Linked DNA regions of Nothobranchius furzeri. The protein of the gene in region 2 interacts with the protein of the main gene of each other region in a pairwise test. Links are inferred from orthologs where the notes say so. Each region holds a gene or a part of one and is shown on either strand. Other genes may lie near its edges.

What was found.
Region 1: the proteins of pex12 (region 2) and pex10 interact in a two-hybrid assay, tested with the Homo sapiens proteins (4 studies listed by BioGRID, with this or other methods). The link is inferred for Nothobranchius furzeri from reciprocal best matches to the Homo sapiens genes PEX12 and PEX10.

Annotation. Positions count from the first base shown.
Region 1 is NC_091755.1:45,336,634-45,340,974, reverse strand, and holds the start of pex10 (peroxisome biogenesis factor 10), read right to left. Parts: upstream 2,990-4,341; 5' UTR 2,749-2,989; coding exon 2,637-2,748; intron 1,712-2,636; coding exon 1,631-1,711; intron 1,553-1,630; coding exon 1,140-1,552; intron 602-1,139; coding exon 435-601; intron 353-434; coding exon 217-352; intron 1-216.
Region 2 is NC_091758.1:14,500,491-14,505,053, reverse strand, and holds the start of pex12 (peroxisome assembly protein 12), read left to right. Parts: upstream 1-1,608; 5' UTR 1,609-1,779; intron 1,780-1,851; exon of another isoform or gene 1,852-1,854; 5' UTR 1,855-1,972; intron 1,973-2,183; 5' UTR 2,184-2,206; coding exon 2,207-2,329; intron 2,330-2,405; coding exon 2,406-2,941; intron 2,942-4,471; coding exon 4,472-4,563. UniProt on the Homo sapiens protein: Component of a retrotranslocation channel required for peroxisome organization by mediating export of the PEX5 receptor from peroxisomes to the cytosol, thereby promoting PEX5 recycling.

The DNA.
Region 1 (4,341 bases), on a different chromosome or scaffold from region 2:
CAGCTGTCCTGCTGAGAGGATGGATGGATGAAAAGGAGCAAGGTGAATGTGTGAAGTGAACACAGAGGAACCCAGCAGGAGGGTCCTGGTTTCTATCTAGGGAGGAGAAACTTCTAGAATTCTTCTGAAATCAGTCAGGTGTGAGAAGAATCTGACAGTAGCTGCAGAAGCTTCTGATCAGATCTGAGAGTGAAAACCTGCAGATGGAAGCCGGACCTTGGTGTTGCACCACTCTGTGATGCATTCCCAGCAGAAGAGATGTCCACAGGGGGTGGAGGTAGAGTTCCTCCTCGCCTCCAGGCACAAGATGCAGCGAGCAGCTCGTGGGTTGGAGCTCGGTGTGCGCTGAGGGCTGAAAACACAAATCAGCACTTTCACATCAGAACATCGAGCTCTGCGCTGTAATCAGAGAAGGTCCGGGTTCGGTTCTGTACCTGAGCTTCCTGTGGAGCTTCCACTCCTGTCGAGCTCTCTGCCTCCGCCTGAAGTTCTGGAGCTGCAGGCAGACGGAGACGAGCAGCTGGAGGAGGGAGACGGTACCCAGCAGTCTGTAGCTGCTCCGGATGGAGGCGTCTGTGCCACCCGGCCCCATCACACGCAGCTACACACACACACACACACACACACACACACACACACACACACACACACACACACACACACACACACACACACACAAATCTAACGTTATAGAATGAAAACATCTTATTTTGTATTAATTCATAAAATAAACTTAAATTAGGATTTGACATTAAAGACCAACTTTACTTGTATCTATCATACACCTGCACTGGTCTACAGCAGGAGCTAGAAACAAAGCTCTGGCGCCTGTTTCAGGAACTAGAAGTGAGCCACATCTGAGTTGAGCTTCAGACGGCAGGATTTATTACTGACTTGTGTTTTAGGATAAAACCACATTAGATGAACCGTCTCCTTTTCGAGAGGGTCCTTCTAACTTACAATAAGTAAATTTGGAGTCTTACTTCCTGATAGCTAATGCAGGAGATAGGTGTAGGAGACTATTTCCATGTTCAGCCTGCATGAAAACTCAGTGACTTGAGTATAATCAGAAAGAATCAATAAAAAAAATCTTTTTCCTGAGTTTTATTTTGGTGGGGAACTTCCTGCCCTTGACTCACATATCGGATCCCGGCCGCCCGCTTTGACAGCTGATAAAACGAGCTGCTGATGTAGAAGAGCGCTACATGGAGGCGGTGCAGCAGGCCCACGCTCTGCTGGATCACAAACACCGCCGGCTGCCACGCCCTCTTCTGAGGCTCAGTCAGCATGCCCACCGCCTTCTGCACCCCCCTCCTGAGCCACCCCTCCAGGCTCCACCCCCCGGATGCCGCATGATGCCGGCCGATGGCCCTGCGGTGCTCCTGCTCGCCTCCCAGCTCATTCTCCAGGCACACCAGGACTTTGTCGAGGAGGTAGGGGAGGAAGGTGTGGAGGAGGACGAAGAGACCTCGTCTGGTCCGGGACGGGATCCGGCGTCTGGTCGGCTCCACCTGGATGATGTGAACGTACTCCTCACCCAGAGTCTGATAACCTGCAGACAATGGAGATGCTCACATGAAGAAGTTTGATTCTTTGGATCAAGGTCAAGTTCTGGATGTCAGCAAACCACCTGAGAGGGTTGTTAGACCAAAGTAAACGATGTCAGATAGCAGCTCCAGCTCCCTCCTCCAGTCCAGCCATCGCTTAGATCCTGAAGGTAAAAGCAACAGTTACAGGCTTTTATTCTGAAAAGACACCTCGTCTGTTACTAACAACCTGACCCAATGAGCGTTTTTACTGATCACAGGTCGTGCTAGAAGAACTCCTGAATGATGAACAAATCTTTAAAAACGAAGGAAACAAAAACGTTTAACATCCGCCTGGTTCTGGGCTTCCAGCGGCTACAGAACCGGTTCTGGTCCGGGTGTGATGAGGCTTTGTCGTTTGTCCCATTCTCTCTGCAGACAAAACAGAACCGGGTCATCCTCTTCAGTTTGGGTTTTACCTAATTTTCTTTATTGGAGATGGGTCAGGACATCAGCAGGCAGGCCCGTCCGGAACCAGAACCCTTTTCTCTCTCTGACTAGATAATCCTGCCACCACAGAACATGGACCAAGTCCGAACCATCTCAGGATCTACTTTTGGACTTGGCGCCAACACCATCTGGATCATCCTCTCCACTTTGGTCCAAGGAAAACGACACCTCCTGGAATGGATCTGGAATGCAGATCCATCTGATCCAGTTTGGTTCTGGTCCATCCCAGACGGAGTCCTCTGGAGCGGGTCGACACCAGCCTCTGGTTTTGTTGGTGATGGACGGATCTAAAGTGTTTCATCATTTTTTAATCTTAAAAAGAACAAAACTGACTTTATATTTGAACCGAATCTTGATTCCAGATCATTCGGACCTTATCTGCTCCGACAGGAACGGCTGAGTTCGAACTGCACGAAGCTGAGTTTTTGTCCTTTATAAACACAAATTCAGGCTTCAGACTGAATAAAACTGTTTTTGTTGGTTTCCGGGAACGAGGTTGAAGAAACTTCAGCTGTTTTTGAAGTAAAAACTCTGAAAACCGACCCAACCATCCAGTTTACGGAACTTTAGCATCAGCACAAGCTAACCGGCCACACGAACCTGCGAGAGTCTGAAACGCTTCGTTGGACTTGTTCCTCAGCACGGTTCGGTAATATTCATCCTTCTGACTGGACCGGATCAGCTGGGCCTGGTTAGCCGGACTGAGAGGCATTGTGACCAACCGAACCTCAATCCGCAGACGGGATGATGCTCAGCGGTTCCGATCCGTTCACCTCCACCTGCAGCCGGTGGGTTCACACCGGGATGGGCTTCCGGTTCGTTCCAGAACCAACCGGTTTACATTTTCAGACTCAAAAAGCAAAACAAAAACAGAAGAAACGAGTCAAAATCCAACAGAGAAACAAAAACAACAGTAACTATTTCGGTTCCGGTTTCTTTGACTTCGTCTGTGTTTTTACTTTAGTGGTTTGAAAAACCTAAAGATGGACCAGCGCCTCCTGCTGGACAAAGTGTGTAGCAGGAGTTTCTATGTACTAATCATTGACGTGTCAGTATAATAATAATAATAATAGATCAATATTCATTTATTTTATTACAGCTGCAGCAACATAATGATGAGTAATAATTTATTATGATTTAGGGATGCACAATATATCGGTTATCGGCCATAACAGTGGTATTAATATCTGATATCGGTATCAGCCCCAAACATTTCATACAGGTGCATCATTACTATGATTATGTTTTGATATACCATCCGTGGCTTGAAGAAACAAGCCTGCAACATAATTTTAATGTATTTTTATTCATACACATATGTATATGAACTTCCTTTGCCATATTGTGTGTTTTTCACATCGACATATAAAAATATGGACATAGCCCCACTAACATGTTTGACCAAGCAGTTAAATGACAGCATTTCCCCCATTCAACCAACTAAATAAAGTACATAAATATAATTTTACTTGCTGATAAAAAAGGAGCAGAATCTGCTTGGATGGTCTGTTGGTGCCGTCAGTAACCACAGCTTGACCTGTTTGTCCAACTAATCCCATGATCAACACACACACACACACACACACACACACACACACACACACACACACACACACACAACTAAAGTTCAGAGAGTCGAAATGGCTGGACATCTATTAAGCTTGGTTTATGCTTGACGCATTCACTTTCCGCTTGGTGATGCGGCTCGCGGATGGAACGCGCTTCACAACTCGCAGCGTTTATGGTTCGTGCGACTCGTCTCTGCGGTGAGCCAATATTCTCCCAAACTGTAGGGGGCAGCATGGAGCTCTACGGCATGCATCCAACACTACACCATAGTAGAAGTAAAAATTACTGGTTACAACATGGCATTTCAGCATTTTTAACAGCGTTCTCGTCTTTTCCGACAGTGCGAGCTATTTCTCTCCAAGAATTATTAACAACATGTTGATCACGGTGATCTCTGAGAGCTGAATCATACAAATGTCTGTATTTACCAACCTCTGCCATACTAGTTCTTGCCGGTCCGCCATGTTTTTCCGCGTCCGACCGTCCGCGTGGTTAGAAATTTTCCGAGGTGCGCGTCGCGGAAATTCTGGGCCGTGCGGAGGCGCGGTGGAGGGGCGTGGTTGTTAAAATGACGCAAAATGATGCAACTTTTCCACGCGGAGCCGTGCAGACCTTGCGGACGCGTCAAGCATAAACCAACCTTTAGAGGCTGAGGCCTTTCCTCGGAGCTAGCTCTGAAGTCACGTGGCTCTGGTGCTCATTAATTATTCAGAAATGTTAAGCGTTAAATTCCACT
Region 2 (4,563 bases):
TCCACCTCTGATTATTCAGAGGAGCCAAATGAGGCTTTTATTCTGCCTTGCTGTACTCACTCACTCTCATGCTGCTAAGGTCCCATACCATCAGATTGCTACACCTGCCGGCTCTTCCCACTGAACATCATCCTCACTGCCATCCAATACATCTATGCATGCAATGTTTGATGCCTCTGCTGAATTGACCACCGTCATCTTAAAATTAGCATCATATCTCTGCCTTGGTAGCTTGTTCACTTGCCCCACTTTCAATCCACTCTGCTGCAGACCTCCCGTCTCCATTTTCTTCTCCGGTTGAGAACATACAGCCTGGCGCCCTCTGCTGTTTTGGTCGTGTAACGACCCCAGATAAATATCGGCATGTGTGAAAGCTTAGACCCCGATTATAAGACGACCCCACATTTAAAATTATTTTCAATGAAAAAACCTCGTCCTATATTCAGGTCAATGCGGTTCTTTAAGACATATTATTGACCAAAATGATTTTTTATTGATGTATAAATTGCATCATATATTTATTTATTCTTAATGAAGCCAACTGAGCGGGGCTAATGCTGTTTAATTGTAAATTATGATGTGCACATTAATGTAGTCTTGGGCGGAAGGGGCTGGAGCCTCCATTTTCCTAGTTACAATCTATTCAAACATCAGGACAGGATTGCGCTTTTATACACTGATGTCCATTGACAATCGAATATGTGTGGGTGCATGGTTTATTTGTACCTTATAATTAACCAGATTCTGAGAAATAGATTACCATGGCAACGCATGTATCCAAGGATCACCACAAACAAGTCTCTTGGAAATAATGTAGAAAGTCTAATTCTGAGCCGATAACCTACTGCTGTTTTTGGGTTTTCTGAGCTCTCTACACTTAAAACTACCAACATAACTGACATTTTTTACCATGGCAACAGAAGGAACTAAGGATCACTCTAATCAAGTCTCACTGGAGTGAATATAAAAAGCCGAATATTGAGCCAATAACAGACTGCTGTATCTGATCTTTCTGACCTATCTCTACTTAACTTACATTTTATTGATCGTCAGAAGGCGGGAAAGTGCCTCACCCCCTCCCAGCTCTCTGATTGGCTCATCACCACCTGTGTGTGAATGAATGGGTAAATGATACACTGTAATGTAGAGTGCTTTGGAGTCCTCTGACTCAGAAAGGCGCTATACAAATGCGGGTCATTTATCATTTATTTCTGGAAACCCAAGTTTCCTTTATTATTTGTTGTTTTTAGTGTTTTAAGTTTACAATAATAGCCTTTGTGTGCTTATCTGTAATCATATTATTTTTCTGCTTCCTTTTCTCCATGTGTATGTGCTGCTGAAACGAGTAAACGCCACCACTGCAGGATTAATAAAGTATATTATATTTATTCCTGTGTCTGTTTTAAAAGGGCTTGGCATTCTAGGGGTTAAACTAAATGGTGAAGCTCGGGAGAATGACAGCAGATGCGCTTGATGGCTGCCAACACTCGTGTTTAATGGAGCTGGAGGACAATTGGAAAAAAGGAAACCTAAATGAGACACTTCCCCGCACATCCAGTAGGTGGCGGTAAGCTCCGCTGCAGCTGTAGAAGAAGTTCCGGTTCCGGAAGCAGCTGGAATGGACTTTAATGGTTAATAACGTAAATAATTTACAGGAGTGAGCGGCGACAGAACAATCTTTCAGACGTTTGCTGCAAGGTCTCACGCAGCTTTAGCGCTTCTGTCGTGGATTCGCGGCGCTGTTAGCTTCTTGCCAACAGCCGGAGAAGACAGCCGGACGTGAGTTTGTCCACCGCTGAAAAACAGAAAGCATTAAATTATTTAGAATCCTGTAAAAATGTGTTTCTGTAGTAGGTCTGAACGCGCAATGGACCGGAACCACTAGCACGGTGACGGTTCGGAAGGGGTACTGTCTAGATGTCCATGCCCGTGGTGCCGCTGCAGGTGGGAGAGAACCCAGGAGAGTTCACCTGTGAGTGTCGCCGGAAGTGTGCAGTCACACATTAAAACACTCCCGTGATCATAAGCACCGGTTCTACAGAAGAGCGCTTTATTCCACCTTTACTCGTGCTAGCAAACATAACGGACATGATAATTTATATAAATGTTACAGAACAGCAGCACTTTGTGTTGACCTGTTGTGAATAAAGGTGAGTTTGAGTTCAGAGTGGTTTGGATTTTAGGACCCGGTTCTGTAGCAGCAGCCATGGCGGAGGCTGGAGCCCATCTCACCTCGGCCGCTGTCGGTGAGCAGCCCTCCATTTTTGAAGTTCTGGCCCAGGAGTCACTGATGGAGGCAGTGAAACCAGCGCTGAGGCATGCCGTCAGGGTAGGTGTGCTGCACTCAGCTCTGCTGCACAAGCACAAATGTTTTCTGAACATCATAGAGGTCTGTGGCCCTGCAGGTTCTGGCTGAATCCAACCCGTCTCACTTTGGCTTCCTGTGGAGAAGCTTTGATGAACTGTACCTGCTGCTGGACCTGATCCTCCAGAACCACTTCCTGCGTCACTGCAGCGCCTCCTTTTCGGAGAACTTCTATGGTCTGAAGAGGGTTTCAGGCCAGCAGGCACCTCCAGCTCACCTAGGTCTGCTCAGGAGGTCCCGCTGGCTTTCTCTTCTTCTTCTGTGCCTGGCTCCGTACCTACGGGCCAAGCTGGAGGTGAGGCTGGCACGGCAGAGGGATGAGGAGGACTTCTCCATCAGGTTGGCTCAGACCCGGAAAGAGCGGCTGTATCGAGCAGCAGTGGCAGCTTACCCATATGTCAGCTCAGCCTGGCAGGCCTGGATCTTCTGCCAGCAGCTGCTGTTTGTGTTTGGGGTCACCAGGACTCACAGCCCCCTGATGTGGTTTGCCAACGTCCGGCTGGCTCGCCTCAGTGCTCAGGATATTCGAGTCATGGAGCAGAAAATGAGCAGCATCGGCCCCACAGCAGATAAGAGGTACTTTACTCTTGATTATGACTTCGCACCGTAAACATTCCAATACAGTTAAGTTCATTAAAGAGAAAGTCACACCAAAATCTGGTTTTTTGCTGATAACTTGTATAAATAAGTGTATTGTAGTGTTGTAGACATGTCTAGTTGTTATTTTTGGTGCATTTTCTTTAAAAACTTAAAATTCAGCCTAAAACCTTAAGTCCAGCGCCCTCTTCAGCTCTAAATTATTCTACACTAATTGACAACAGCAGTTTGAACTCCGTCTGACCAATGGGTGAAAGGTCCCATGTAAATGATAAATTAATGATAAATGACCCGCACTTGTAAAGCGCCTCTCAGAGGAAGGACTCCAAAGTGATTTACACTACAGTGTATCATTTACTCATTCACACACACATTCACACACTGATGGTGATGAGCTACGATGTAGCCACAGCAGCCTTGAGGCGAGGCTGAGCCTGTCACATCTCTGTGGCTGTAGGTTATAAAAGCATCGCGGTCTCAGCCACATGTGTGTGTGTGTGTGTGTGTGTATGTGGCATTATGTTATGTTATACCCAAAGTACCTACAATCATCAATCGAACATCAAAGGTTCATTAACTCATTCACTGCCATTGACGACTAAAGTCGTCATTTGCATTTTTTTACTGTTTGAGCATCGCAACGAGCCCCCGCGCTCAGAGAACAAACATCTCAGCCCTGAAGCCGATCTTCATCCGCATACGTCACAGATCACATGCTCAGGAAGCATCACATCCATGTGTTAGGAGATCGTTTTGGGCCGTTTCTGTAAAAAAAGTGAGGCGCGAACCGGAAAAGCGTCTGCCGATCACAATTCAACAACGGATTATGAAAGAACGGATAACGCTCGAAACACGCGGCTTCTTCCTGATGTAAGAGGTGAGTCTCCTCTTTGTTTTGGTTGTTTTGGCGTCGACATCATGCTAGCGCGCAACGTTCTGTGACTCTTAAAAAAACAGTAAAAACGGTGAGAAACGCTGGCAGCGAAGGCCGTTAGTGATCAGGAAACAGCTGGCAGTGAATGGGTTAATATTGATAAACCATACTTTAATGGAATATTACATTGTATTGAATACCTTTATATTCTATAGATAAGTTATTAAAAGTAACCACTTACAAACCTTACATGAGCACCACGTGTTCATCATGTAGAAATGTTTGTGTGGAAGAGCAACAGCTACAATGTGTACTACTATGTTGTAATGTGTGTGTTTTTGAGGCCTTGTGTGTGATGTCTGTAGGCCAAGTCTGGTTTTTCACCAAGAGTGAAAGGTTTTGAGTGTAGAGCTTCATTTTGACCTGAAAATGTGATGTTTGGGAAGTTGGGTGAGATGTTATGGATGTGTGTTTACTGTTTGGAGAATGTGAGGAATCGAGAAAAACTGTAAACCCGACCGCTTCCTAAACTCCAGCGTGGAGACCAGAAAGTGGATCAGAACCAACCGGAGGAGCCTTCTTGATCAGGGCAACACTGTACTGACTGATGGGTCAATGTTCGTGTGTGTTTGCAGCCTGTTGCAGCGAGCCTGGTGGCTGGTGTCTCAGACGGCGAAGGGGGTGGCCATCTCTCTCTCCACTTCCCTCTCTTTGGGCGTTTTCTTCC